4 linked regions of the Oreochromis niloticus genome follow. The protein of the gene in region 2 purifies or fractionates together with the protein of the main gene of each other region. This does not show direct contact. Links are inferred from orthologs where the notes say so. Each region holds a gene or a part of one and is shown on either strand. Other genes may lie near its edges. The genes, in order: pomp, psma5, psmg4 and psmg2.

The links.
Region 1: the proteins of psma5 (region 2) and pomp purify together in Homo sapiens (co-immunoprecipitation; 6 studies listed by BioGRID and IntAct, with this or other methods). This does not show direct contact. The link is inferred for Oreochromis niloticus from reciprocal best matches to the Homo sapiens genes PSMA5 and POMP.
Region 3: the proteins of psma5 (region 2) and psmg4 purify together in Homo sapiens (co-immunoprecipitation; 3 studies listed by BioGRID and IntAct, with this or other methods). This does not show direct contact. The link is inferred for Oreochromis niloticus from reciprocal best matches to the Homo sapiens genes PSMA5 and PSMG4.
Region 4: the proteins of psma5 (region 2) and psmg2 purify together in Homo sapiens (affinity purification with mass spectrometry; 4 studies listed by BioGRID and IntAct, counting the BioPlex papers as one, with this or other methods). This does not show direct contact. The link is inferred for Oreochromis niloticus from reciprocal best matches to the Homo sapiens genes PSMA5 and PSMG2.

What each region holds. Positions count from the first base shown.
Region 1 is NC_031974.2:26,857,465-26,864,220, reverse strand, and holds pomp (proteasome maturation protein), read left to right. Parts: upstream 1-4,605; 5' UTR 4,606-4,687; coding exon 4,688-4,765; intron 4,766-5,086; coding exon 5,087-5,184; intron 5,185-5,316; coding exon 5,317-5,377; intron 5,378-5,569; coding exon 5,570-5,671; intron 5,672-5,758; coding exon 5,759-5,852; intron 5,853-5,947; coding exon 5,948-6,015; 3' UTR 6,016-6,239; downstream 6,240-6,756. Other genes in the region: lg9h11orf65 (protein MFI), read left to right, coding at 777-781, 1,715-1,796, 1,889-1,981, 2,053-2,106, 2,217-2,426, 2,602-2,732, 2,947-3,117, 3,250-3,305 and 1 more. UniProt on the Homo sapiens protein: Molecular chaperone essential for the assembly of standard proteasomes and immunoproteasomes. Degraded after completion of proteasome maturation. Mediates the association of 20S preproteasome with the endoplasmic reticulum.
Region 2 is NC_031970.2:25,680,677-25,688,053, forward strand, and holds the start of psma5 (proteasome subunit alpha type-5), read right to left. Parts: upstream 3,022-7,377; 5' UTR 2,891-3,021; intron 2,578-2,890; 5' UTR 2,556-2,577; coding exon 2,527-2,555; intron 2,134-2,526; coding exon 2,067-2,133; intron 1,964-2,066; coding exon 1,837-1,963; intron 638-1,836; coding exon 570-637; intron 485-569; coding exon 377-484; intron 277-376; coding exon 218-276; intron 123-217; coding exon 20-122; intron 1-19. Other genes in the region: matrix remodeling-associated protein 8, read left to right, coding at 4,252-4,303, 4,860-4,886, 4,971-5,276, 6,043-6,144, 6,236-6,369. UniProt on the Homo sapiens protein: Component of the 20S core proteasome complex involved in the proteolytic degradation of most intracellular proteins. This complex plays numerous essential roles within the cell by associating with different regulatory particles.
Region 3 is NC_031981.2:27,035,259-27,042,691, forward strand, and holds the start of psmg4 (proteasome assembly chaperone 4), read right to left. Parts: upstream 3,016-7,433; 5' UTR 2,882-3,015; coding exon 2,714-2,881; intron 1,316-2,713; coding exon 1,240-1,315; intron 1-1,239. Other genes in the region: bphl (valacyclovir hydrolase), read right to left, coding at 4,033-4,123, 4,210-4,333, 4,454-4,585, 4,707-4,860, 6,290-6,456, 6,633-6,736. UniProt on the Homo sapiens protein: Chaperone protein which promotes assembly of the 20S proteasome.
Region 4 is NC_031985.2:19,890,720-19,898,513, reverse strand, and holds psmg2 (proteasome assembly chaperone 2), read right to left. Parts: upstream 3,003-7,794; 5' UTR 2,830-3,002; coding exon 2,773-2,829; intron 2,008-2,772; coding exon 1,836-2,007; intron 1,515-1,835; coding exon 1,456-1,514; intron 1,342-1,455; coding exon 1,223-1,341; intron 1,136-1,222; coding exon 956-1,135; intron 713-955; coding exon 592-712; intron 493-591; coding exon 412-492; 3' UTR 98-411; downstream 1-97. Other genes in the region: uncharacterized protein zgc:136493, read right to left, coding at 7,548-7,704. UniProt on the Homo sapiens protein: Chaperone protein which promotes assembly of the 20S proteasome as part of a heterodimer with PSMG1.

The sequences.
Region 1 (6,756 bases), on a different chromosome or scaffold from region 2:
TCAAACTGAGCATCTGAATGGGGAAGAAAGGTGGTTTAAATGGCTCTAAACATGACGTGGTTGTGGGTGACTGCTCTGCGTGTTTCAGAAACTGCTGAACTGCTGGGATTTTAGCACAAAACCTCACAGAATGGTCCAAAAAAGATCAAATATCCAGTCCCTCACCCTGCCAGAGTATTGTTTCTGACCATGGCTGCTGATGGCTGCTTCCAGCAGGATAACATGCCATGTCACAAAACTTTAATCATCTGGTTTCTTGAACCTAACAATGAGTTGACTGTACTTAAAGGGCCCCCACAGTCACCAGATCTCAAACCAATTAAGCACATTTGGGATGTGGTAGAAAGGGAGAATCACAACATGGACAAATCTGCAGCAGCTGTGTGATGCTATCATTTCAATATGGACCAAAATCTCTGAGGAATGTTTTCAGTACTTTGTTGAAGCTATGCCATGAAGAATTAAGGCAATTCTTAAGGCAAAAAAGGGCTAAAGTCAAGACCTATAGAGATGTATCTAATTTTTATTTATTTATTTATGTATTTATTTATTTATTTGTACCTGGGCTTGTAAAATATCAGTCTTGGTCTTGACTTATAATGAACTTCTATGTCCTACCGTTAAGTAATACAACTGAGCAAAACAACATTTTATTTTGAAAGTACTTTCCGGAAGACTAATTAATGTCAGGCTATGTTGCCAAGTAACTTACTGAGATATTTTCAAAGCTTCTGCTGTCATCAGCTGATAAGTTTAGACATTTATTGGCAGCAGTCATGAGGTGATGTATATTTTACATCATAATGACGTTTGCATATGATAAGAAGTCACGTGTGTATCACACAATGTAAATACTGTAGATATTATTTCCCTGGCTTAAGTTAGCTAACGTTAGCTGTTTGATGCCTTAGCTTAGTTCCCAGATAAATTGCAAACTTTAAATCATCTTATTTTTGTATTGTACATAGTTGGGACAACATTTTTATGACTTTTCCATTATGCAGAAGTTTTTATGCCGTTTTATTGATACATACACACAGAGAATCAGAATACTTTATTGATCCATAGGGAAAATTATGTAGAACAAAAACTCTCTCAATCCACATGATTGGGGGAAAGATAATAAACAGATGAAAGTACAAGTAAGGGAAAAAAAAGCTAAACTAACGAGAAAAAAGCAAGACAAACTGCAGCAGGCTGTGACAGGCTGCATGCTGGTCGGCGCATGCGCACTGAAAACCCCGTTTTTATTTTATCACAGTAATTACCAATATGCTATGTCAGAAATTGCTTGAATAAGTTATTATTCTGGCATAGTATTACTAAGGCAATTTAATAGGCAACTAATGTGCTGCTGTGTATGATATTTTAGAAAATGACTGCACATTTTTATATTTAAAGTCCTAATAACAGTTAACCTTAACAGTTGGTTAAAAGTAATGGAAAATGTACATTAAAAAAATCAGCTTAATTCCTCCCAAATAAAAGGACGGTGAATTACCAATATAAAGTCAATTAAAATGACTAAAATTTGAATAAAGTAAAAGTGCATACCACCAGATTATACGAAAAATAAGTATCTAAGTCAGTGTAAATATTCCACTATTGGTTCTCTCATCAGTAGAACTCATCATAAGATACATTATGCAATATATTGTAATGTAAAAAATAATCGGTCTCTTTGTCCTTCCTTCTCATGTTTCCTCTTCTGTAGCTTGCAGGAGGAGGAGCCCCAACAAGGGACACTGCAGGAAGTGGCAGTCAGAATAATTCAGAGGGCTTGGAGAGGATATGTGGTAGGAGCATCTGCTACTACTGCTATGGGAACACAGACTCACATATGTGCACAATTGTAGGCACAACTTGTTTTTATCTACCCAAATTGCAGGCCAGTGAAGTCTTCAGGTATTTCAAAGAGCTGATTTTCTACTGCAAACAGCGGGATCCAAAGACCATCCTCAAAACTGTCAATCCTCGAGAGGTAATGGAAATTGCAACCCCTATGAAATAAAACCAAATCAAACAAAATGAAATGTGATTTTGTTGTGGCAGGCCGAACTACTGGATGCTGCAGCTGGAGTGTTTATCAGATTTCGACTTGGAGGGGTAAGAGCTCAGAGAGGAAATAGTATAGGTCAGGAATAGATCACTCAGGAGCTATATGGATATGATATTAGAGACATGCCTTCTGACATCTAACCTCTCTGCCACTTTAGATCAACTTTCCTCCCAATATCTATTACAAGATCTTCACCCATCGGCCCATTACGGATGTGTGTGCAGGCAGTCCGAAAGACTACACCAAGCAAAGCCGTAGGAAGCTTGTGGCCCAGAAGACCAACAAAGGCCCAGCCGTCGCAAAGGATGACCGATTGGGTTGGTACCAGCGCATGGAGAACAATAGTTGGAGGCTGTTCTGTAACAAGGTGAGGAACAAAAATGAGTTTTTGTTCTGCTTTAGTCAAGTTCTGCCATTTGTTTAGAAACAGTGAGCCAAAGAGCTACAGCAAGTTTACAAATGCTTTTTAACAGGAAGCTTCTAAAAGCCAAAGTTCTGCAAGTCTGTTTTTTTTTTGTTTTTTGCTTCGTCTTCTCTCTTAGGTGGTTTTAGCATGTGAGCCTGCAGAGATCGGTGCTGACAAAAAAATGGACTTTCATTACTCCAAGTTGCAGCGGAAGCAAGATTTAGAGAGGTGGAGGAAGAGAAAGAAAATTGAATGGCTGAAACAGATGTAAGCGCTTTTGTGAAATGAAACAGTTGGCGAGCAAACCACTGTGGCATCAGTGATCACAATAATTTAAATGCAATCTGAAGTTTGTGTCTGTTATTTATTAATAGTGATAGAAACCTCCCCCTTATAGAATCACATCTTTGCTAACAAACACATAATGGTGTGTTGCTTTAATTGTGCTAAATGAGCTGTCACTCCTGTTCCTTACATACAGGTATAAAGAGGGTCGTCTGCAGGATCATGCGGAGCACAGACACATGGCGGCCCTGGTGGAGAGTTCCACCCAGGAATTCATGGAGACCGTTGAAAAGAAAGGAGATGATGAAATACTGGAATGGGAGCTGGATGAGCTGCTGGCCTGGACCAACACTCTAAACTTCGAGGAGTAAGGCACACTGATTAGAATGTTTGTGGCATTTGTAATTTTTCTTATAATTTCCCGCATCGTAGGATGTACCCCGCCCCCCCACCACCACCACCACCACCGAGTATGAATTTTCCTCTCTTGCCTGTGCAGGTATATGGAGGAATGGAGACATTTGGCCTGTAGTTACTCCTCTGAGCAGAGCAAAGGTAAAAATATTCCCTAAATACTGTATTCTGTGCTGCCATCTGATTTTTTTAAATTGATAGCTAACATGGCAACATCATGTAGGTTGCTTTGGAAGTCTTTGGATGATCCTGATAATCCAGTCTCATGCTATTCTGTCTTCCTTTTTCTTCATCACCTTTTTCTCATATCTCCTACAGATGGCCCTTCTCACCCACCCAGGTTAGATCCACACGAGCTGGCAGCAGAACAAACATGATTTATGTTAAAACTGTGCAGTCTCGAAGTGGAGTGTGCCACACTGTTATTGTTGCAGTATTCACTTTAATAAAGTCTGAAACTTGCAGTTGTTTACAGTCTTTGTTAGTCTGTCATATAAGTAGACATCACTGTGTGCCATTTTTTGTTAGTGTGTAGACTATAGTTTGTTACAGTAACAGTGTGTTAAACCACATTCCGAATTCCAGAGAGTCAGACTGCCAAAAATTGTCCTTAATCATCAGCTCGCAAACATCTGCAAATCAACGTACAGCTGATATCCGGTGTGTTTGTATCCGTCTGATAGCTGGAAATCACCATGTGCCTATGGATTGCTGAGGTGACTGAATTGGCAGATCACCAGCTTCTACTGAATCAATTCCACATCCTTAGTTTCTCATGGAATAATGAGACATTTGGTCAATTTTCCAATACTTCTTGTGCTCAGAAGTACTTCTACTTCTGAGCATCTTAAAATCCAGTGCTGCATGAAAATGACTCCCCTTGTCTTCAATCACGTCTTGACTGTTCAATTCAAATATATGCTGGTGGTATATGAAGGCAAAATGACAATCCCAACTGGATCTAACTGTATTTATGGCTTTTGTGTTTCTTAACTTGATATCCGAGGGTGTTCAGCTCATTGTGGGAGCACACTGTACCACTGTAGAGAGAAGTGCATTTTACAGGTCAGCCTTACTTGTTACTTGTTTGATTGAAGCCATGTATCTGTAAATGTAATGCTACATAGTATGGTAATTGATGTAACAGATATTCTGGCTGTTATCATTATTATTATTATTATCATTAAATTCCAAAAGCTGTACTTGTCATTAAAGTGATAAATTAAAGTTTTGCAAATGACTAACGCAAAAATTGGAAAACAGGGGGCACCCGGATTTGAACCGGGGACCTCTTGATCTGCAGTCAAATGCTCTACCACTGAGCTATACCCCCTCACGTTTAGCACAGCGGACGCATACGTATTTGTCATGATCATAATCATTCCCCACACGAAGTTGGGAGTTCATGTTTCTATCTTCAGTTAAGTGATAACGAATTGATTTCGTATACTTTAGATACTGTACAGCACACGATAGTATGTTTAACTGGAAAGACGTGGTTCTGTACATAACGCTATCAGCGGATGTGTCGTCATCAAAACGAGACGCTACCGGATACAGCAGTGTATCGAAAGGAAAGGGGAACAAACGAAGTGAAAATGGTATGATAGCGTTTTTAATGCCTATACCATATTTTTTAAATATCTTAAGCCTTGTTGTTGCGTACTCTCTTTGCTTTAATAATCTGTGTGATCATTTGAAGTCTCGGTGGTGAAGCTGTTTGTTTTTAACCGTGCCCAAACTGAGTAGCTGTGAATTTGATTAGTCACTCGAGCTAATGCCAGCTAGCGCTTAGGTTAGCCACAAGGTCCCTTAGATAAATACAACTTCCAGTATTTGTTGCTATTAGCTACATTAGATAGCCATTAGCTAAGTGTGATCAAATGTAAATGGTTTATGTATGTCTTTGATGTGGACTACAGAATTCCAGAGGACTTCGCTCTCAGCTTAAGGACAGTGTACCTGTGGCTGGGTTCTCTCCACAGGGAGCTTACGGAGTGCAGGACTCCCTCCGTAGTGGGTGAGAAACTGTTAAAAATGAAACACAGTTGCATGATAACCTCAAAAAACACATTTTTGTATTAGCCCCCAAATAAAGAACAACGTGCTGTTTGTAACACTTTTTTTTTTCTCTACTACTTTTATTAAACAGATTTACCAGTGTTAAGAATGAACTGCTTCCAAGCCACCCGCTGGAGCTGTCAGAAAAAAATGTGAGTCATTAAACCAATTAATGCTGTCTCCATAAAATGCTTAAATGGTATTTGTGTTTTGTGCTTGGTTTTACTATAAAAATTACTTTTTTTGTCAAATGCAGCTCAGTTTAATCACAATAGACACAAAGGGCAAGTAGTAAAAATACGTTTCTCTCGGTATCTCACTGTTTTCTGTTTCTCCATGAGCAGTTCCAGTTGAACCAGGATAAGATGAATTTCTCAACACTCAGAAACATCCAGGGTCTTCACGCTCCTCTCAAACTGCAAATGGAGTACAGGGCGGCCCGACAGGTAGCTGCAGTCCTTTTTTAGGGTGTTCTCTTGTTTTGTTTTCTTTTTTCCTTCTCAGTCCTGACACCAACTGTTTCTTCCCTCCAGATCCAGCGTCTCCCATTCCTACAGAGCTCAAATTTGGCTCTCGATACGCTGCGAAACAGCGATGAGTCCATTGGATTTGAAGACGTCCTCAACGGTGGGAACCTTGTCCTTCCCTTTTACACCTTCAGTGATATGTGTGTTGAAATAAAACCATAGCTTATACTGTGCTTTTGTCTTTTTCCTTTATAGATCCAGCCCAGAGTGAAGTGATGGGTGAGCCACACATGATGGTGGAGTACAAATTGGGATTGTTGTGAACAGAGTTGGGCACACAGATCCATATTATTATTATGTATGAATACATTTGTTTATCAACTCCATAACCAAAGTTAGTAGTTGGTGGAGAGTTTTAGTTGTGGAGTACTTTTGAGCAGGACGTGTATGTGTGTGTGTGTAGTGATCTTGAAAAGAGTCACTCACACAGGCTGCTTTTGTATGATTTAATTTGGTTATTTCTAATAAACTTCATGACTCTCCTCATTGTCCTGGTTCATTTGATCAGTTATTTACATTTTTAGATGAGCTTGCGCTGATAAAATTACCTGGCATGTGTTCAGAGAGAAGGTGTAACAAAGCCTCACTACCCACTCTGAGTATGTTCACCTGTATAGCTAACATTGATTTGCCAATGCAACAGGTTAATAAAGAGCAACACTTGTATTTTAATCCATGTTATTCTTCACTTCACTCATTCTTCATTTGCCTAACTTGAAGTGTCCTTAAAAAAGTCATTGATATCTAAATCGTTCTTTTTCATCCCACAATTAAATTCTTCAAATATGTTATTTAAGTCTAATTGCATGTTTATACGACTGTACTCTCCATTTAGAGTTTAAGGAGCTGTTGGCAAGGCTCTCCACTTTCTCTTTTAAAATTTGCACTGTGAAGCCCGGGGTTGTTAACATTAATAGCAGGGTGGAAATCATTGAGGTTGAATTCATAATGGCTGCTGCTTGGTGGCATGGGCTGATCAAACATCTGCAACCAGTTGAAAAAAC
Region 2 (7,377 bases):
GTATCATGGCTGTTATTACCTTGTGGTAGACCTCTTGCAGAGAGCTCTGTGCTCCCTCAGATGCAGAACCGATGGCCCGAGCATCACACTGCACAAAAGTTCCTGATGGGTCCATGTGATACCTGTATTACACACACACACAAAACGATACATGTGTTTAAGCAAAGCAAGCAAATATCCCTTAAATTTTAAAATATAAACAATTATGTTGACATACAGCTGAGGTCCTTTTTCATCAACTCCCCCAAACAGAAGCGCAACACCGAAAGGTCGACTCTGTTTAAAACAAAGTAAAGACACAAATAGAAGTTAAACATCAAACTTTTTTTGGTCTGCATCTCAAAATGAAAGCACAAACACTGGCTGAGTGACTCACCATGGCACCAGGGTCTGCATCTTCCTCCCCAAACTGCAGCGCCAGGTTGGACACAGCCTGAGTCACACTCTCCACTGTCATCGTCTCATTGTAAGTGAACCAGTGGTTCTGAAACAGAGCGCATACAGGTTAACCGCAGATAAACACAGCACTCTAAATACGCCTTATACAGCGCTGTGCTCTGAAATCATACCTGTGTTTCCACTCTTGCTTTGTCGATAAGAGTCTTGGCATCAGCTATCAAGCCGCTCATGGCACAGCCTAAGACGTGAAAAGAAAGAAAACTAAAAACCTGCATATATCTTTCACAGGCTGTGGCCTAAAGCAAGACTCTTCATCATCAAAGTGAGACAAACGTGATGAAATTTCGTGTAATCCGAAGGAAAGCTTTACTGTGCAAGAATGTGGATGTGACCAATGCACTGATTAACATTTGTCTGAAACGGCTACAACAACAGTGTGAAAGTTAAAGTCAAGGACTTGATTTGCTTAGCTTTGCGTGACAATGTTCTGACTAATTTAAGCCACTTATACCAAAGAGTTTTAGCTGGAGCAAAGGAAAGAGAATCATTTCTCGAGGTGTTTTTTTAAGATGAATACTCTCCCTTAAACAGAGGGCTGCGAAAACAACCCAAAACAAAACAAAAAAACCCAAACCAAAACAAAAAACAACACACACACAATCACAAAATATTTGAAAAAAAAAAGAAAAAAAAAGAGAGAACTTTAAGATATTTTCACCAATCTTTACATGGAGTAGCCCAGTGACATTCTCTGGTTTAAAGTACTATTAATGGCACTTTGTTCACTTAAAATGTTTTTATTTATCTATTTTCTGCTTTACAGTCTTGCAAAGGGACCAAATAATAAAGAGATGATGCTTTCAAAAACAATTTCATAAACAGCTTTAATTTGGTCTATATTGTCACACAAACTAAATCAGCCAAAAAACTAAATCTAATAATATTTGGTTTAAGCAATGCTTGGCTAAAATGGCTCTGATTTAATTGCAAAAATATTTAAAATCAGTGCTCTGAAGTAAATCAGAGAGGGTCTGGCTGAAATCTTTTTTTCTTAAATTTAGTGAATTCACATGGAATGACTCTTTAGGTTGTTTCAATCTATTGATCTAGACGGTTTCAGTTTTTTTTGTCCATGTTTCTCTTTTTGTAAGGGAATAAAGTTTTTTGAAAATTGAAGTGTACATACAATTAATAATAATATTCTCTGGGCTAAAAAGAAAATAACAAAAATTTTTGCTTTTCCTTTTCTTTAACAATATTGCACTGGATTTCTATGTTAAAAAACAAAAACAATAACATGCATTTCAAGTCCAATTTTAATCGAAGAATCAATTAACTAGTTTAGCTGACTGGATATCTTATCTCATTACAAAAAACAGCCAGTAATATTATGTCAACAAAAGCCTTAATCCTTTGTCACGGTCCATTTCCACTTACCAATGTGACTATCAATCTCCACAATCTTCTCAATGCTGTTGGGCTCCATCAGGGGAGAGGTGATCCTCTTCTCCACAGCCAGACATACCCCTTCTGATGTCTGGATACCGATGGCTGTGGAGCCCAACTAGAAGAGCAAAGCCAGGCCAAAGAAAATAGATGAGCTTGAATATAATCACTTTGTTTATTAACCGTGCATACATGGTTAAAGATTCCTGTGAAGTACTCACTTTTATTGCCTCTATGGCATATTCAACCTGGAACAATCTTCCCTCAGGAGAAAATGTGTTCACACCTCTGGAAAACAGAAATTAATGTTTAGAACTTTTAGCAACGATTAATATATTAAAGATAGCTGTAAAAGTTATTTTTCACTATTATTATTTGCACCTCTATTCCCTTATAACAGCAAAGTAAATAAACGCTCAGCTTGAAAAAGATGGCATACCGAAAGTGAAAGCGAACCAACTTTTTCCTAACATTGATTATTAGCTGCTAGCTGATACAAGCTGTAGAGACACCGTTACAATAAGTGTTTCACGAAATCAGCATTTTCTGTATTTTCTTTAGGCGTCTAACCGGGCTTTCTTTCTCGGGTAGACAATAAAACACCTGTGTGCTCTCGTTCGTTTGTTCATTTCCCTCTGTTAAGCGCTCAATAAATGACAAAGCAGTTTGTGCTTCACCTACCTGTCATATTCCGATCTGGTCAAAAACATCTTATAACGTTAAACGCAGGACCTAGAAAAAGATAGATGCGTTATTTGTGTAAGATTTCTGTACAGTAACAACAAGTTAAAGCAAATATTGAGAGCTAATTCTAGTTTTTGGTTTCAAGTTTGCTGTGACACCGGGTTATCTGCTAGCTGCAGTTAGCGGTGATACCGAACAGGCGTGCTAGCTAACAGCGCAACCAATTACACAATTAACTGCATATTAGACACAAATATACATCAAACATCAAAATTCCATCAGTTTAACAATGTCCGGGGAAATATATGTGTACAATTTCCCGGTATTATTCAAAATAACTTCACTTGCTCGGCTCGTTTACCTTCAGCCAAAAACCCTTCAATGAGTTCGCTTGTTTCAGAGGAAGCGTTAGGTGTGTTACATCCAAACGCGCCGGTTGTTAGCAATTCCCTAACCAACGTTCCGCGTTTCCAAGTCAAAATATGCTTCATTAAATTAACTTTATTTATGTACTCTGAAATAAAAAGCTTTTGATTTTGTGGTTGTTATTATTTTTTTTACTTGTAAAATTCAAAAACAAGAAAGCACATTATAATACTGGTATTTGTGAAAAATGAGGAAAAATAAAGCTGGGTAATGTTGCCTGAAAACACGATGTTGTTTCCTACAATCATAATTTTTCTTTTTGTCTGAAGACAAATTGTTAATGAAATCTACTGAAGACAAATAATTGTTCCAATTCGTGCAAGTCAGAATAACAAGAATACAACTTAACAAAAACAGACATAGGTAATCATCGTTGGATGCCATGCGTTTACGTACGTGTATTATGTAACATTACACGATTTATGAGCACGGTGTCCCATATGGTCTAGCGGTTAGGATTCCTGGTTTTCACCCAGGCGGCCCGGGTTCGACTCCCGGTATGGGAACGACTCTTTTGTGACAATGGGATTTTAATGTCATTCACGAGAATGTCGAACTTGGCCTTCGTAGTGGCAAAAAGGCACACCAGGCTCCAAAACATGGTATAATTTACAAAATTATTGTGGCCGCTTGAGAGGGGAACCAACCGCTGGGTGTCGTCATTGAGCTGAATTAGAAGAGATGATGACCTGGTGATGTGTCTGATTTCTTCATCCGGTTAAATACCCCAAAATATAAAATATTCCAATTTACAGTCAATACAGCACTTTAAACGTATCGAGATTAGTGGTTAAGTTATCTGCTATGCTCTTGGAAATGATTGTTTGGCTTACTGAGTGCTCCTGGAAAAATGCCGAAATTAAACGGAATTTAAGCAGTGTGGCTTTTGAAATGTGCTGTAATACGAATACCAATATGCCACCACTGCAAAAGTAATGATGTACAGCTATTAACACAATTTAGTGGAAAAGTAAGAGAATGTTATCTTTAAGTGTAAAAACAAATGTCTCTCTTGAGATTTTTTATTGTAGGCTAATAAGTCGGGGGTTTGTGAGAGGAGGTTTACTTGGCGGTGTCGGGTTTCATTTCTCGGCTGGATTCAGTTCCGTTCGGCCCTGTTTTGGTTCTGTGTTGGGCTCTAACTTGGTGCTGTGGCAGCGAAGATCTCTCCAAACTCTGGAATGTGACTAACCTTGACGGGTTGTTGTTGCGAACAGACAGGCTGGACGTATTTTCTCATGCTCAGGGCGGACTGCCAGGTGCAGAACACGGACTTATCGGCTTAAAACTGAAAAGATGAAAACCAAGAGGGACGACATCATTTTTCAGACTCTCCTCTTGATCCACAGTAAGTAGGCTGGAGTGAAGCACTGTTTTGCTTTTGTTGCAAGCGTGGATAGACTTTGCATTCGTGAGTTAAAGTATTTTAGAAGTTGGGCTCAGATTCTCCACTCTAAAGAAATGAAAAATATATTTTACTAAGTAACTTTTCCTCTTTTTTCCTTTTTTTCCTGAGGTGAAAGAACGTTTTAAAGATTTGTTTGTTTGTTTCTAGTGTCGTTAAGGTAGATTGATGTATTTTTCTGGGCTGATTTTAAAACCAGACTTCCGTCCACACTTATAACGCAGATACATTCTGCGTTATATACATTCTCGGAGATGAGAAACACTGAGTGAGGGCCAATCTCAATCAGGCCTAACTGCACAGTACAAAAACAAAGCCCAAGAGTGTTTCCAGATAGGAATATATATTTGTTTACACCTGCAGTAAATTGCCTACACACACACACACACACACACATATGCATTTTCAGATGCAGGGAGCTACAGATTTTGTCTGAATACCTGTTTAAGTGATTAACCCGTTTGCTTATTTCTACTGTTTTTTTGTTTTGTTTTTCCAGTCCCTGTGGCCTGCTTCTTCACTGCAGGTAGGTTTCTCCTTGTGTGTGTGCACATGTGATCTATGTGTCCATGAGTACTAAAAATGCTGCACCCTGTCTGTCCTTTGTCAGTGTCATGTCAGGCTGAGAGCAGCAGCAGCATAGTTGTGGCAGGTTATAATGTGAGCTCCCCTGCTGGTTCGAAGCTGGTGCTGCAGTGTGTGAGCAGCCGGATGGTGTGGACCAGGGACAGGGTGAGAGACAGGCAGAGGGTGATCCACTGGGATATGTACAGGGCTTATCCGGACTACGCCATGGAGAGGGTGCTGGACATGTTCTCGGCAGGAGAACAGAGGATGTACAACTCCTACAATCTGGGCAGGGTTGGTCTCAACCCGACAGCCTTCAAAGATGGAAACTTCTCCCTGGTTATCAAAAGTAACAGACACATTCTGTTTTTGTCTTTCATGTGTAACTGTAACTGGCCAACTTTACTTTGTTGGTGTGTCTCACTGTGGCTTTGCTTTTTATGTTCTTATAACAAATATTTCAGATCACACATAGAGTATGTAGACAAACATTTTAAAAGAAAGGTGAATCATTGCCACTGAAATGCAGTTAAAATCAAAGACCATCTAGATATTTGTTTAACACAGGTAGAAAGCCAAATGCATCCTGACACATCTCCCCTCACAATCAGATATCATCCCCTTATCACCTCTCTTCCATGCAGAGGTATGGCTAAATTGCATCAGTGTGACCACTATACTGTTACAGGGCAACCATGTCTTCTAATAGAGGCAGTCGGTCTGGCTATGATTAAAATCATTAAAATTATTAAAGCTCTGTGTGCAATTTTTTCAAGTGATTTATTTCGGTATTTGTCTCTGATTTCCCGTCAGTACGCAACTGGTCCCCATTGCTACCTCATTAACAAAAACTAAAATGCCCAGTTTACATAGATTACCATCCAACACCAAATCTAAAACACAGAGTCAACGAGGGTTTCACAAATACATAAATGCCACACAAAGGAATAAATCTGAAGCCTCTATAAACTCAATCACTTTGCCGATAATGAAAAAAAAAACTATGCCATTAAATCTAAAAGGTTTTGGAAAAAGGTTTGCTTTAATATGAAGTGTGCACTTCCGTTTCCTAAGTGGCCATGCTTGATTTGCTGTACTTCTACATGTAATGACAGATGTGACGATGAATGACCGAGGTCTGTACTCCTGCAACCTCCACCATCTCTACTGCAACCTCTATGAGACAATCAGAGTCCAGCTCAATGTCACTAAATCACGTATGTATCACACTCTACCAGCTACCAGCATGTGAGCCGAAGTACATTAGTATTAATCCACAAACCCCTTTGACTTGTTTTTGCCACAAAGGTCGTAAAGTACAGCGATACTGGGATGGGCATAAGGCCGTGTACGTGGTGCTGCTCGGGAGCACTGCGGTGCTGCCGTGCATCAACCGACGTAGTGTGTGGACAGACTGGAGCGACGAGGAGGAGGATCAGCAGGTGTTTCTACTTGTTTCCTCAGACAGATCAAGAGCTAAGATTTGCTTTTAACATTACAATTGACATGTACATGTCCTGGTTAATCTGCTTTGGATTATTTCTTGGAACTGTTTTTCCAGGGTGTAACGATTGTACAGCATAGATGTTTAATGACTTGTTTAATGACAGCTTTTAAGCATAGTCCTCAAATTTCAATGAGGTGAGTTCGGGAATTTGGGAAGGCCATTCCAGTTGCTTAATGTTAATCTACTTTATTTATTCCAAAACCAGTTTTGATGTGTTTGGGATCATTTTCCTGTTGGAACACCGAACTGTGTCCAAATTTCAACCATTTAGCTGATGATTTGAGGTGAATTTGAAGAATTTGGAGGCAGTCCTCCTTCTTTATTCCATCTACTTTGTACAATGTACCAGTACCACTGGCAGCAACGCAGCCCCAGAGCATGATGGCGACCACCGTGCTTGACAGTTGGTACAATGTTCTTAGGTTTGAAAGCCTTACCTTTAACTCTTCAATCATCCCGCTTCTCATTATAGCCAAAGAGTTTAATGTTTGTCTCATCTGACCGTCTTATTTTTCTCCAGAAGGCATTTGGCTAGTCCATATGGACAGCTGCAAAAAAGAGTTTATTTTGGAGCTTCCTTCTTGGTCGGCACCCTCTCTGTACATGTTGATTTAAAACTCACTTCACCGTGGACAGTGATGCTGGTCTTCCAGCAGTTTCCAGTTAATTTCAGGCTTGATGCTTGGTGATTCCTGGGTTGTTCCAGAACATCCTCACAAATTTCCTCTCATCAGAGGGAAACTGTTTTTGCCCAAACTGACCCAAAGTTTGGGTCTTTGCCAACTGTCTTGGCAAATTAATAATGCATCCAAATAACTTGTACATACAAAAAGTTGTTTTAAGTGATGATTTTGGATTAAGCAGTTGTTTTAGAAATGGCTCCAAGAGACCTTACTTGTGTGAATCTACAGTTCTCTTTGTTAGATTCTCACTGAGTTCCTTG
Region 3 (7,433 bases), on a different chromosome or scaffold from region 2:
ACAAGCATGCATCAGCCAGTCAGTTCCTTAATTTCATTGGCTGTGGGTGAGAAAAAAAAATCCCATGTTTCCTGTTTAGTTGTCAAGGCAACATTATGTGGTAAAGACACCATGGATGAGTAGTCATCCCTGTAGACTTTGCATTAGGCATGTGTATAAACAAAGTTGGCTTATTGTAGAATCGATTGTCCAAAGACAATTCTACCCAGTCATGAACTGGCAGGTAAAAAGACGTCCACGTTCAGCCTTACAATTGCCCTCTGCATCACCCTGCACATTTCCAGAAATAGATACTACAACATTGGTTAGCATACCAGGTTCTTGTTGTGTAGGTACACTGCTAATGAGTCAACACTCAGTTGACACTGAGTCAACAGTCAACCAGCAGTCCTTTGTTCACACTGGTAGTTGCATTAACCACTCACCTCAAAACTGAAATAGGTTACTTGCCTCCTACTCACTTAACATTGTCAGTGTTTCACCTGTTGCAAGCTGCTGAGTTTCAGTGATATTTGTAGTAGCTTGCCATCACCTGTGTGTGAATGGGTGGATGACTGATGTGTAAAGCGCTTTGGGGTCCTTAGGGACTAGTAAAGCGCTACACAAATACAGGTCATTTACCATTTTATTTATATATTTCATAGTGTCTTCCAGTGTGGACATCACTTTATAGTGGACACTGAGATTGGCCAAGTATTTTCACAAAACCAAGATAAATGGCTATTCTTTGCTGCTGTGTTTTGGACCAAGTTAAATGTAGTGTATCATTTTACACTCCACAGCATATCAGAGGTCTGAAACACTTCTCCAAGCCACCTGTAATTAAGTTTGACGATAGAACTTGTGGAGATTTGAGACTTGCCTTGCTTCTGTAATTAACTGCAATATCAGAATCACTTTTGATTTCAAACCTATCGTTTCACGGTTACACTAGTTATTGTACTAACACACACTCTGAATACTCCAAACACAGATATGCTACTTTGAAGCATCACTCTATTCAAGTTTCAATTCTCCCTGCTGACTCTCAGGAAGGAAGGTCAAGTAGACGCCAAAAACACATGCAAGAAAAAAGCATGCCAGTGACTCTGGGTTCAAAATTACATCAATGGTAAAATTCTAACATATAATAGAAATCCACAATTAAGAAGCACATGGCAACTTAAATGAGCATTTTATGACTTTGCTGTAGCCATCTCCTACATACAACACATATTGCAAACTAGTGTTATACATTACCTAATCTTTGTGCCAAAGAATTTGGTGCTGTGTTGGATGGGTCCCCCATAACTAAAGTAGATAATGGCATTGAATCCTGCAGACAAAAGCATATAAGCTGTTAGCTTCCCTTTCCAAATTAACATGTAAGTGACTTAATACCTGTTTATAGGCCTAGGTCATTTTTTTTAAACTCAGGGAAATAGAGAAACACTTTTAATCTTCACAAGACTCGCTTTCTCACTCTGACATACATATACATATATATATGTATGGATATATATATATATATATATATATATATATATACATATATATATATATATATATACATATATATATATATATATATATATATATCAGTCTATATACAGTATATAATGTAAAATACTGGATCATCATATTAGTGAACCAACAAAAAATGTAGTCAATATTTGTAAATGTAATCCCTGTGAGCCAAGAGCTCAGGCTACAGACTGCTCAAAATGCTCTCTTTAGGCAGTTTTCTTATACTCTTGGCTCTGGATGATGTCACTGAGGATGGATACCCCTAATATGGTCATCTCAGACACAAGTCCCGCCCGATTATTTGCTCTTCTGTTTCCTAGGGGATGATGTTACAGACAGGGAATGAACTGAATGGCTGCACTGAGACCCAGTATAAGATAAACAGCAAATATGCATGGTTGATTGGAAGAGATGTGTGTTACTGTTGCCATTCCTAGAAGTGGGGGGTAAGCTTGTTAGTGTCGGCCTACTTAAACCTACTGCAAGGCTCTACCCAGGTGTAACCCAATCAACTCAAGGACTCTCCACCATTGAGTCTCTGCAAGAGTATACAAAAAGGCCCTCACAAAAGCAACGCAACTATAGTAGAGTCCAAAAGTACAACTATGAACGAATATGGAGATATAAACAACAGAATAAAACCGATCCAGAACAAAAAGAATTAGTTTCCTCATTTCCCTCTTGTGCTACGTAGCCAGGACAAGGTGGATAAAATGATCCCCCATGTCATATTACATACAATATAAGAAAATAAATAAATCAACTGCAGCCATCTAAGTAGGAGGCTAACTGGTAACAAATGTTTTGTTCAGCCCAAAGAAGTTCAAGTATTTTGTTTACAACATATAAATAAAAAAAGTGGAGCCGTACAACATTTCATTTTCAAAAGACCAAAAAATGCTGAGGAATTGTTTCATTTACACCGCCAAATTAATAAAAAAAAAAAAAAAAAACATTAATTTTTTCAACATAAATTTAGGAAAAGCCCAGCAAAATAAGATAAAAAAAAAAAAATCATATTAATTTTAACGTATATATTCTTTATGAAAAACGTTTATTTTGAAAATCATCCTAAAAAAAATTAAGACCTGCGCTTTTAAATACCGAGTTTCTTATTCTTCACCCGACGAATATACCCAATATTCTTTATTTCTGGAAAACGGCTTACCAGTACTTAGTGAATGAAGGTGTGCTGTGCGGTACTTACATATTTGCTGCTCATCGACACTGCTAAGTTGGACAGAACCGGAGCCGAACCGACCCAAAGGAAAAACCCGCCGCTGAGCTTCATGACGTGAAAGTGTACCACCTGCTCCAGAATCTTTTCAGAGAAATTGTGAACGGAAATTCCCTTAAATTCCGCACCGTTCTGCATTTTGCCACTTTTGTTTCACTCTTTATTGGATGAACATCTAAAGTCCGCGTTAGCTTAACTATAAACAGCATGGAATACTTCCTGGTTTAACAAAAAAGGCAGGCCAAAGCAATCGATCATCGATGCTCGAGAGTGAGAATCCAGCACAACTGATCTTGGTGCCGCAATAGATCCCTATATTACACATTCAGTGTGAATTAAGACACATATATTAGCTGTTAATGACACTTTCTTACAGTGGCACCCTCTATGAAATACCAGAGACTTTATAAGAGTTTTTATTGGTAAATATTTTATTCTTGTGCAATAGACTCATTGGGCTGTGTCATAGACTGTATAAAAGATGCCAATGACGTCCTCCATTTGTCCAAAAAGCCATGTTGGGTTTTAGAAGCCAAAGGTGACCATATTTAGTAGAGACGGAAGTATGCTATGATTTTAGCTAAGGCTAGCAGTCTGCAGCCATAAACTGTATGGTTGCCACGCAGCCTGCTAATGAATGACAAGTCAAAAATAAATAAAACAATTAAAATCCCACTCACCAACACTTCACAGCACAAACCTCTTGGACAGCCAGTACTTCACAGCAGCTCCTATTATTTGTCAGATAGAGCTATAGTGGCCAAAACGTTTTCTTGTACCGGACTGTAAACATCTTTATTTTGCTGTGAGCTTAAGCATTTTAACACTGGAGCCTCTGGGATTTTACCACCGGATTCACTGAAGTTTTGCTTCAGCCCTTGAAGGTGACACTTTGGGCTTTCCTTGTCAAATAAATGTACGATATTGCAGTTAGAGATGGTAGTAATGTTTCTCCTCTTCCAATAAAGCCTCTGGCCTGCTGAGCCCTTGATACATTTTTAGTAAACTTTGCTCCAGAGCATCCTGTTAAAGACACTTGTCACAGGTCTATAGCTGGATAGATCCCAGAGTTTGTTACAAATGAAATTTATTTACATTAAATTGTAACTTTAATTAATGTAAAAAGCTGTTTCGCATATTTCTATATTTTTGTTAAATCTAACATTCCAAATGAAGATTGCATCATAAAAAGTAATCAAAGTAATGTTACAATCCACATTCTACATTTTATTTTTAAAGTAAGTAACACCAATTCTTTTGCTACACAATCGAATAATGAAGCCATGGTTTCACTCTTCAAGAAAGTCTTCCACCAGTTTGTTGAATTCATCAGCATACCGCAGGTGGAGGTTGTGTTTCCCCTCTGGCATTAAATGCACTCTAGATTTGGGGATGAAAATCTTGATTTAGCTTGTACCTAAAAGTGAAATTCATCAATTTGTGGTAATATTATTGTGCATGCTCACCGTGAACCTTTGATGTGTTTGAGGAGGTACTCAGGGTGGAGAATTGGCACCATGGGGTCTTTCTCTCCATGGATGATGAGGGTTGGACAGCTGATCAGGGGCAGATGTTCCATGCAGATGCTTCCTAACCAGAGAGCAAAAAGGAAACATTCAGATTATCTGCTGCTATGCATTAGCAAGAGACAAAATTAACAAGTATCTTTTCAGATTGTCTAGTGCGCCTGCAGCAGCACAGAGCCATCACCTTCTGGTCTGTGGGCAAACTGTGCGATTCCATCCACCCAGGCCTCCCACAGTTTAGCAAAGACTTGCTCCCCATACACCTCCTCCATGGGTTGCCTCATCCTCGCACTCCATTTGGAGACATCACGCACCTCTGAGTGTTCCCACAACATAACCGTTCACACACAAACACACAACACGCACATATTCAAATGAAAGCCAGTTTGTAGCTCGAATAACTTGCCACTTGTCCAAGGCAATGAAAAGTGACGCACCATTGTAAAGCTTGAGGTCATGCTGGGAAACAAAAGCATTGGCTCCCCACACAACCATCTTCTTGATCAAATGGGGGTTCCTTGCAGCTGCAACCAGAGCGGTGATTCCCCCATCACTCCACCCGAGCAGGGAGAACTTGCTGAATCCCAGTGTCTGCCAAAGAAATCATAAAAAAGTAGGTTGTGTCAAAGCGGTAACACAACTTGCTGTTGTAAAAAATGCAAAAACTTTCTTTTTTAACCGCAAGACTAGACAGGGGCCCTGAATTGTACTTTTATCTGTGTATGAATTGTGATATATAAACCAGATTGCATTTGAAATGCAGAAAATAATGCAGAAAAAAATTAGTCTTCATGCTTCTGAATGTACAGATATTGTGAGAAACCTATCTGACAGAATCCTTCCTGAATGATTCACAGTTCTAAGACATTTTGAACAGTGAAGCATGAAAAGGGTTGGTGGTGGGGGGTGGGGGTGGCCTTTAAATTTTCTGTTTTGAATCATCTCTCAAATTTGAATAACAGGTAGGCGGGGCCAGAATAATGTGCCTGTGAAGATTACTTATACGCATCTAGTATTTACAATCTTTTTCACAACTTTGGCTGTGTGTAATATGAGCATCCACTATTGGAACATATAGTATACAATAACAAGATCAAAGAGAAAAATCAAAGAGAATATTAAAATATTATTAAAGCTTATCAACACACAACAGCTGTGTTGGATTCTGCACCCATCTAATTTCACATACTGCACGTGTAGCTCATAGGTCGCCAGTGATTTCGAAATTTATATTTGCATAAGAGTTATGATGATGGTTAAAAAGCAATTTGATTGGCATACAAAATATTGCAGAAGTACTGAAAGGAGGGGGGATTTGTTTGTAGCCTCATACCGGAAACTATAAAACCCCAGACTGGGGCTTTTTGTCATGTTCATTACTGAAGGGTAAAAGAAGGATATAGCTTCATAAACCAGGAATTTTAATATTGGCGTATGAAAATAACATGTCTCAGTATTAGAATTGGAAGGTGGATTAGACATCATTGAAGTCAGGGTCGCCTAAATTTTGATCAGAACACAAAGCAGAGAATAGAGGAGGCATATACACTGACTGTATATACTAATTTATTAATTGTGCTTTAAACACTTTCTCTTATAAAACTGCGTAAAAAAACAAAACAAAAAAGAAAGGACAAAAAGAACAAAAAGAAAAGGTCCAGGTAATTTTTTAAAGGTAATTTCCTGCCAGTACATTATCTGTTTTGTTATGGGAGTTTCCATAAATGGTAAAACTCGATCTGTGGTTAAAAAAATATATTAGGATTCGTATTGCTTTCTAATATCTATCCAGATATTAGACTGTAGTAAAATCTAGCAGGTTTTGGATTGCAGAATTTAACTTATTTTCCATTTTGAATGAATTCTAGACCTTTATTATTTTACTACACGCTGAACTGAGCATGAAGTTCATCACTCCCCATATGTTCCTTTCTTTCACATGCCCCCCAGAGAAGGGGCTTCTCGGGAAACTGTACGGGTCAGATTGGTAATCATTTTCACCCTGAGTTTATCAGCAAACCTTCATAAGATCAACTGCATCCTTCGCATCCCTCTCAAAAAAGTCAGGGGGGAAGTCTCTGTCTGGGGGACGGGATTGTCCATACCCACGGGGATCCCAGCCAACTACAGTGAAGCGTTCTTTGCTCAGAGACTTAAGCTGAGCACCAAAATCCGTCTTTGTGCTTCCTGCAGTAGAAAACATAACAGTTTTTTTTAGATGCTTAAAGGACTTAATCAAACTGTACTGAAGGATATGTTATTCTTGCAACAGAGATATTTTGAGTATAGAAAAAGATTTTGATGTCTTCACATATAGCCAAACTTTTCTTCTACATTAAAAGGAGGCGTGTGCTTTTATTTACCCAGAGCGCCAGGAAGCAACAGCACAGCATGTTTTCCTCTGCCTGTCTGCTCATAGTACAGATTCACTCCATTAACAGGCTTCTTGCCTGAGGCCACTGAAGTGCTGCAGGGAAACACACGGGGAGACGGTGGTAGTCAAAATGAGCGGAGGGTAGCAGAATAAGGTAGAATAGTTACTTTGAATGTTACAACCAAAGATAACAAAGCCGTCCTTTGTTAGGACAATTACAGCAATCACATTGTCCAACTTTGATGGGAATAGAAGAATCTTGGGTTTCGTGGGGCCTTAAAAGCAGGTTTGAAAAGTGGAACCATTGTTCAGCTTAACCCTCAGCGACAGCATCTGTTCCTGTAGATTTAGAGTGCTGATGTATGGCACTGTCTTATTCTTGGTCTCTGTGTACTATTAAAGTTATTTTGCTGGGATGAACTAGAAATGCAAAGTTTCTACCTACATTACTGCTGAACACTCGGCTGCGAACCGTTCCAGTGCGAGCTGGAGGCCCTCACCCGATGAAGCCAACAGAACCACATCATCCGCAAAAAGCAGAGATGAGATTCTGAGGCCACCGAAGTGAAAGCCCTCCGCCACTTGGCTCCAGCCGAGTGTGAAGCAGCGGGAATGAGGATCAGCACCTCCAAATCTGAGGCCATGGTTCTCAGCCGGAAAAGGGTGGAGTGCCCACTCCGGGTCGGGGATGAGTTCCTGCCCCAAGTGGAGGAGTTTAAGTATCTCGGGGTCTTGTTCGCGAGTGATGGGAGAAGGGAGCCGGAGATCGACAGACGGATTGGTGCTGCGG
Region 4 (7,794 bases), on a different chromosome or scaffold from region 2:
CAGGAATACAGCATGGAGCCTGGCCAACCACTTTCAGTTAAGTGGGTGGAGGCTTAATCCAGTGAAAGGGCCACAATCAAGATGAATTCACACCACGTTCCTGTAACAACTTTTTATTAGAAAAACATTTTTGTTTTAAACCAGGAAATAGCAGTCCAGAAGTGAATGTTTGGGTCACATCCTGTACATTTTATTTTGTTATGTTTGAGTTATTTAAGATACATTTCCAAGATAGAGGAGATTTATGTGGGCAATTTCCATCTTTCTATATATGTCAGCGCTGCCATCAGTCACCGGGTTTGGCCCCAGTTGAGAGTTTGCTGAGGTCTGAAAACGACAACATGTGGAGCAAACGTCTTGCATTAAACACAAATTATAGAGGGTAAAAAACTAAAACACTATACACTTATATCAGAACAGTGCAGGCGGGATGCCGTTTCCAAACAGGAGACTCCAGGAAGTCGGGATCTTCCATTTGTTGGGCTGTTTGCTCTGAAAGCAGAATTGGAGAACAATGATTCACCTCACAGTGACATTACCACTCCTCTGAAACTTTAGGTTGCTTTAATGCTGCGCCGTGGTGTCACTTACGTTATCGTCCAGCAGATGGAGCCAGTCGTTGAGGTGGTTCGCCAGAGCGAAGGCATCGGGGATGTTGTCGCCTTCTGAACAGAAGACGAGCAGCACAGCCAGCGGGAGGTCCTCTTTGCAACTGTGCAGCAAACGTGATCACACAAACACAAATAATATTAACAAGGAACTCTTACTGAGGCGTTTCAACATTCTTAATAAAGTGTCTGAACACACAGCAGACACCTGCAGCTGCCTTTATTGTGATTTATATTCAAATAATTATTAAACCCATGCTCTTACAGACATAAATAAAAAAGATTTTAAAAACAGCTCCCTGTGTTTTTGATGCCCTTGTGTCTGCCTGCAGGTCTCCCGTATCTACCTGTCTGTGTAAAGTCCTTTGGTGATGCCTCCTCCGGGGATGCAGAGCCGTGGTTCCGTGTTTCCATCTGTGAGTCCGGGGAAGGCCGGGACTCGCTCCATTTCCCTCCAGCCCAGTTCCTTCAAAGCGTCCGCGCTCCCCTTCAGCAGGGACGGCGTGACCAGGTACCTCAAAGGAGTGCTAGCCGAGACACGTGTTTGTTGAGCAGACATGATTGAAAAATGCAAAAGTGAAGAAATAAGGCGATGGCGTTGCAAGCGTATTTACCCCTGCAGCTGCTGGTCATCTCTCTGGTAGGCGTGGCTGCTGGAGAGGACGACAGTCCTGGAGAAGCCGCTGGATTTGATCCAGGACACGAGCAGCTGACGAAACTTTTTGGTCTTTGACTGCAGTTTAAACAAAGGTAGAACAAAAGAAAACAACAATAGTCATACAGTATGAAGGGAACTCAGAGAATGAACTGACGTCATACTGATGTCATACTGATGACTGATTGTTACCTGAAGAATTGGTGCTCTGATCTGAAGGACCGCCAGCTTCAGTTCTGCTGCTGCGTAAACTGTGGAGAACAGAGGGTTACTTTTCTTTTGACTTCACAGCAGCTGCAGACAAAACTGCTGATCACCTGACTGATGGTTGACGACAACAGGACTAATGTCCTTTGGTGGATAAGCAGCCGCTGGCCAACTAATACGACATAGTGCTGATTAAAAACAATCAGAAGGTCACAGCTGGGATAGCGGACATCCCAGCGGACAGCAAGAAAGAGACAGCAGACTCAAAGGGAACATTTCTGAGTTTTTTTGTTTTGTTTGTTTGTTTTTTTTAAAATTTCTGACACCTCTGTGTTAGACAGGCACCAGCAGTGAATCAACTGTACCTTCAGCAGGAGTGTGCAGCTCCTCGCCATCTTCTTTGCTGCTGGCGTACGGGTCGTTCCCGGCCATCGGGATGAGACAGTCAGTGTGTATGTGGCCCACCCTACTCATGTTCAGAGTGGACACGATGAGATCCACGGCCAGCTGACCCACATTACCTACGGCCACCGCAGGCTGGAGGAGGAAAGAGGAAGAGGATAAGTAACAAAATTAAAGAGAAGGCAGGAACCGTTTAAATCACTTTTTCCTTTTCCTGAGCACATTTTCATGTAGTTGTGCAAAACATATGATGAAGAAAAACACATGTTAGAGAGTTCCAGTTTTTATTAGGCCTCTAAGTTTTTTTTTCAAGTTTTAAGACAGTTAAATTTTTTTGTAGTTTTACTGCACTGTGCAAAAGTTTAAAGTCACCCCTTATTTCTTTATATTTTGCAATAACAATGGAAAACAGATGCAGCAAATTGTTCAAATATACATGGAAATACAGCAGGCAAAAACAAATTTGTACTATTATTCTTTGACATTTTCCATAGATTTAACTAAAACAATGGGAATAAACGTTGCCATGCATTATCGTAACAGGGTGCGTGTCATGTGTCATTCATTCATCCCTTCAGTTAGGTGTCTTTTATGAGCTTGAATGATTCACAGGTAAATGTTTAGTGGCTTGACACACAAAAAGATTGCTCTGGAAATATAAAGAAATAAGGGCTGGCTCAAGACTTTGCCTCTGCGCCCCTCCACAGTGGACTTCAATCAGGGGTTTAACAAGACTTTTGCATTACATGTGTAGGAATTAAAGGTATTTTTATACACAGCCAGTTTCTTGGATGAAAATCAGAGAAGTGAAGCTTTTGTTTTTCCCTGGTGATTACACGAGTCTCATATGAAAGCATGAAGCAGGAACTGATGGGAGGATTATTTTCCTCCGTCACTCACCATGACGAGGGTAAAATCTCTGAAGGAGGGTGCTGAGCTCTGCGAGGAGATAAACATGGTGCTGTTCAGCCAGCAGGCACACACGACCCTACAAGCCTCCAGATAAACAAACTAAATTAAAAGTTAGACGTCTAAATTATAATCCCAGGGCAACTTTCGCTTCTATTTTCATGCCTGGCGTTGTGGACCTGCTCGGCTCTGTGTCGACTGTTGATGACGGTTTTAGTACCACGCGGGAATGCCTAAATTAAATGTTACAGTGAAGCTTTGTTTTTTTTTAATAGTTTTAAGTAGACGTCTTTAACAAGCGTCCACAGATTTGTTTAAAGCTCCAAGTGTTTTTTACTTACTGTCATTTAAAGTGGTGTTTTATGTGTTTCTATTATGATCAGGCATGTTAACGGTCAGACTGTAGCGCTGCAAAGATTTACTGCGTATTAGAGATCCTCAACTCTGTTGCCTCAATTGTGCTGTGTTCATTTCTCTATCGATACATACATCCATAGACCCATCCACCCATCCGTCCGGCCTCCTTCTGTCCATATATGTACTACTGTATGTGTGGTAACAATTTATCCATCCCTTCATTACATAATTTATTCCAACAACTTTACACTCGGCGGAATTGCACATATAAATATAAATATGCCATACGTGTTGTTATTGCCTGTGTCATGCTGCTGTTGGCTGTTTGTCTATTCTGTTAGGTACGTTGACAGCAAAGAAATAACTGAAGCTTTGTTGTTGTTGTTGTTAAAGTCAACAACAATCCTGACTTCTCTGGAAAATAACAAAATAACAATACCAATAATCTGCTTATAAACAAATTACACATTCAAAAAATTCCTGAATATCCACAATTATTTATTTATTTGTTGCATTATCTCAGCCTAACTTTTATGTAAAATTTGTACTTAAATAAAAAGGCCTTTAGTAAGGACATGTGATACTTTAAACAATTTGTCTATATGTTCATATTTATATTTGTTAATTTACTTTCTTATGTATTTAATATATTAATGTTACATATTTTCTGCATATTGAAGGATGCCTTCCAGAGTTGCATGCACATTGTGGTAAAGGAATAATATATTCCTCTCCAGCTTGTTGTGCTTAAAGTAAGATTAAAGCTGGTGTAGAAGATGAAAATTGCATAACAATCAGACATGTAAGATACTAAAGAGAAACAGCTTTAATTGGTCAGTTTGCAACAGGTCAGTAACATGGTTGGGTATAAAAAGAGCACCTTAGAGAGGCCGAGTGTCTCAGAAGTAAAGATGGGCAGAGGGTCAACAATCAAGTTTACAAATTCTGGAACAATTTTAGAATATTGTTCCTGAATGTAAACTTTATGAAGATTCTAAGAATCTTTAGGAATCTCTGGGCGCAACAGACAAGGCTGAAAAATCGATACAGAATGTCTGTTATCTGTGGGCATGGCGTTAAAAGCATGATTCTATCATGGACATCACTGCATCTGTCACAGGGTGGAAGTAATTTTTATTTTTTATTCTGTGAGTTTCACTGTGTGGTTTTGTTAGTCTGTTTTTATATATATTGCATATATTTTATATGTTGTTTATGTCTGCATGCTTTTATTTTGAAAGTGAACTACTTCCAGCCCACATCTCCCCAATTAAAATAATGTCTTCTCTGGGCCAAAGCTAATTTAAACTGAACTGAGGCAAAGTGAAAAACTGTTCTATGGTCAGACGAGACATGATTTGAAATTATTTTTGGAAAACATGGACCCCTGATCCCATCTAGATGACGTTCTTTTTAGGGAAGGCTTTGAATATTTCAGCAAGATCATGCAAAACCACATACTGCATCTATTACAACAGCATGACTTCATAGCAGAAGAGTGAAAAAAGAAAGAAAAAAGACAAACAGGACAAAGACGACCCATCACTGCTGAGCAACTAGAATCCTATATCAAACAAGAATGGAACAAGAACCTTTAAAGTCAGATGTGGTAAACAAATTATGGAATTGACTGATCTTACTCATTGTAAGATTCTTCAAGCAGCTTTTTAATCTTTTTTAATGTGCCTGAAACAAGCAGAGCATTATTTAAAACACAACTTAATGATTCTGTTTACACTGTATGCAAGAAGCCTTGCATACAACCCTGAGTACCTCACACGTAAGAGTTCATCATTATGATTATGCGATGTACCGCTCTGGCTGCAGAGCGTGGGTGTCTTCAGAGACATATTACCTAGGTAAAGGTTCAGGATGAGTCACATCTAAAGCTGCTGCTCGAATTTCTCCGGACCCCAGAGCTTCGACTAAAGCATCCTGATCCACAACCAGACCTGAAACATGAAAAGACAAAAAAAGACACAAAATCAGACTGAAAGCTCGAAGACTGGTGAGGACTTGCAGTCACAGTATCACTGTATTAACACGGTATTAACATCAGATTTAAAATTTTAAAATTGGGATATTTAATATATATTTAAACAGCATCAAGTCAGTTAATTTTCTGGTATATTGATCAGTTGAGTAGCAGAGGGAGTTTAATCAGTATCAGCTGCTTTGGTGATGATAAAAATTAACACCAGGTGCACTAAAGTGGCAACAATGAGACAACCCTTAAAACAGGAATTGGTTTTACAGGCGGAGGCTAGTGACATTTTTCTCTCTTCTTCTTTTCAGACTGTCCCTAGTTTTGCATTTGGCTAGGCTCAGTGTCACTACTGGTATCATGATGCCTGGACCCTACAAAGGCTGCACTAGTAGTCCAAGTCCTCCAGGATGGCACGTCAATACTTTCAGAAGATTTTCTGTCTCTTCCAGCACAGTCTCAAGAGCATGGAGGAGCTTCCAGGAGACAGGCAGTTACTGTAGGAGAGCTGGAAAATCCTTAACTCATCAGCAGGACTGGTATTGGCTCCTTAGTGCAAGGAGGAGCATGATAAGCATTGCCTGAGCTACAAAACAACCTCCAGCAGGCCACTGGTGAGAATGTCTCTGAACAATCAGAAACAGACTTCATGAAGGTGTTCTGAGGGCCCGACATCCTGGCCCTGTGCTCACTGGAGCCTGGTTGACATATGCAATAGAATACCAGAATTGGCAGGTCCAGGGTGGGCGCCCTGTGCTTCACACTGAGATCTGATTTAATTTTCAAAGTGTTCCTTTAATTCTTTTGAATAGTTTGTATTCAATTCACTGTAGCACGACGTTTTCGATCAGTTATTATAGAATTTTCTGTCACAAACTCATAAACTGTCCAAACTGTGCTTACCTTCTGTGTCTGTTGTGATACAGGATCTTCATATCAAACCCTTTGCTTCTCTGAGCAATTTTGTATCTGATGTGTCCCATTCCGATGATCCCCAGAGTTGATCCGGTGACTTCAACTCCCATCAGGCTTTGTGGTATACTGGTAGTCTTAGGGTCAACGGCTATTTGGTGACCTATGAGAAACATTTTTCTGCTTGTAATAAGGCTGCTTTTCTGCAACCTTATGACATTATTACCACCATGGGGCCCAGCAAATTTTAGGGTTGCATTTGCAGTAGGTCTAAACTGCTGGGGGATTCCCATTATGCACCGAGTTTTCTACTTTTTTACTCGTATTCTGTTTATATGCCTCTCTACATTCAATTATTTAATTATTATTAATCTCTGGCTCTCGTCCACAGCATGTCTTTGCTCTGTCTTTCTCCCTTAATCCCAACCAGTTGTGGATTAAGGGAGCTGCCCCTCCCCGAGCCTGGTTATGCTGGCAGTTTCTTCTTGTTAAAAAGGAGTTTTTCCTTCCCACTGTCACCAAAGAGCTTGCACATATGGGGGGCATATGATTGTTGGGGTTTTCTCTGTTTTCTTTTTTTTATTGTAGGGTCTTTACCTTACAATATAAAGCACCCTGAGGCAACGGTTGTTGTCATTTGGCGCTATATAAATTAAAAATTAACTTATAAAAATTTAATTGAATTAAAATTTAGGCAACACAATGGCCTCAGTAAAAGAAAGAAATGAGTTCCAATAGCGACCAGTAGAAAACCACCATATTCACACTGAAAATAGGGTACACAAGATTTGTTTTTCTTTCAAAGCAGACTAATGGGCTGGAGATGTAATTCTGGCCTGCAGTCCAGGGCCCAAGGGCACTGTGGTCAGAGTTATCAGCCTGGTTCCAAACAGGACAAGATGGTCACTCAGAAGGACAAGCAGTAACATATCAGCCTTACAACTTCCCCAGAAAGACTTTCCACCCACCTTAAAAGGCCTTGTGTTAGTAGGAAGTGAGTAATAATGAGTAAAAATTATAATAATAATTCAACATGTTTTCCGCTAAAATGACATCAACATACTTTAAAAAACATGAATAAGAACAAGAATAAGAAGTTTTTTAAAAAAATTATTTATTAATTAAACATTCATACTTCACATACATACTGGATTAATAAACTAAGAGTGGTTGCATTCAAGCTGCAACTTTTCTTTCGTTTTTTGACTTTTACAGCGAGTTCTTTTGCCAACGTGAACATGAAATAGTTTCTCCTCAAACTAATTAAAGTTTCAACAGTCATTGAGTTTTCTTAGAGGAAGTCAGAGATTCAACACGGGAATCTTTGTTTATCCTATAGCAGGAATATTATCCTATTCTTCACAAAAAGTAAAAAGTTTTTACAGTTTGTTGCCCAACAAGTGTCCACAATGAAACCAAAGAGCCAAAAATAAATCTCTAACTAACACCACCTCACCTTCTTTTTTAAGAGGGACACAAAAATGTAAAAAATTCTTGGCAATATTAATTAAAATCATTTCAACTTGACTTCATTGGGAACAGGTTGGCCATTCACAGCTGCTACGGCATTATCCACCATGCACTGAACCATCCGTCTTGTTGTAGCATAGGTGTAGGTGCCAACATGGGGTGTGATGAGTACATTAGGCAGGCTGAGGAGAGGGTGATCCCTGCACCGAACAAAGCAAGAAAGGCATCAGGAGACAGCTGATGTTCATTCATGCTTCCTTTCATTTTCATTCCATTTTTGTGTGATTGCA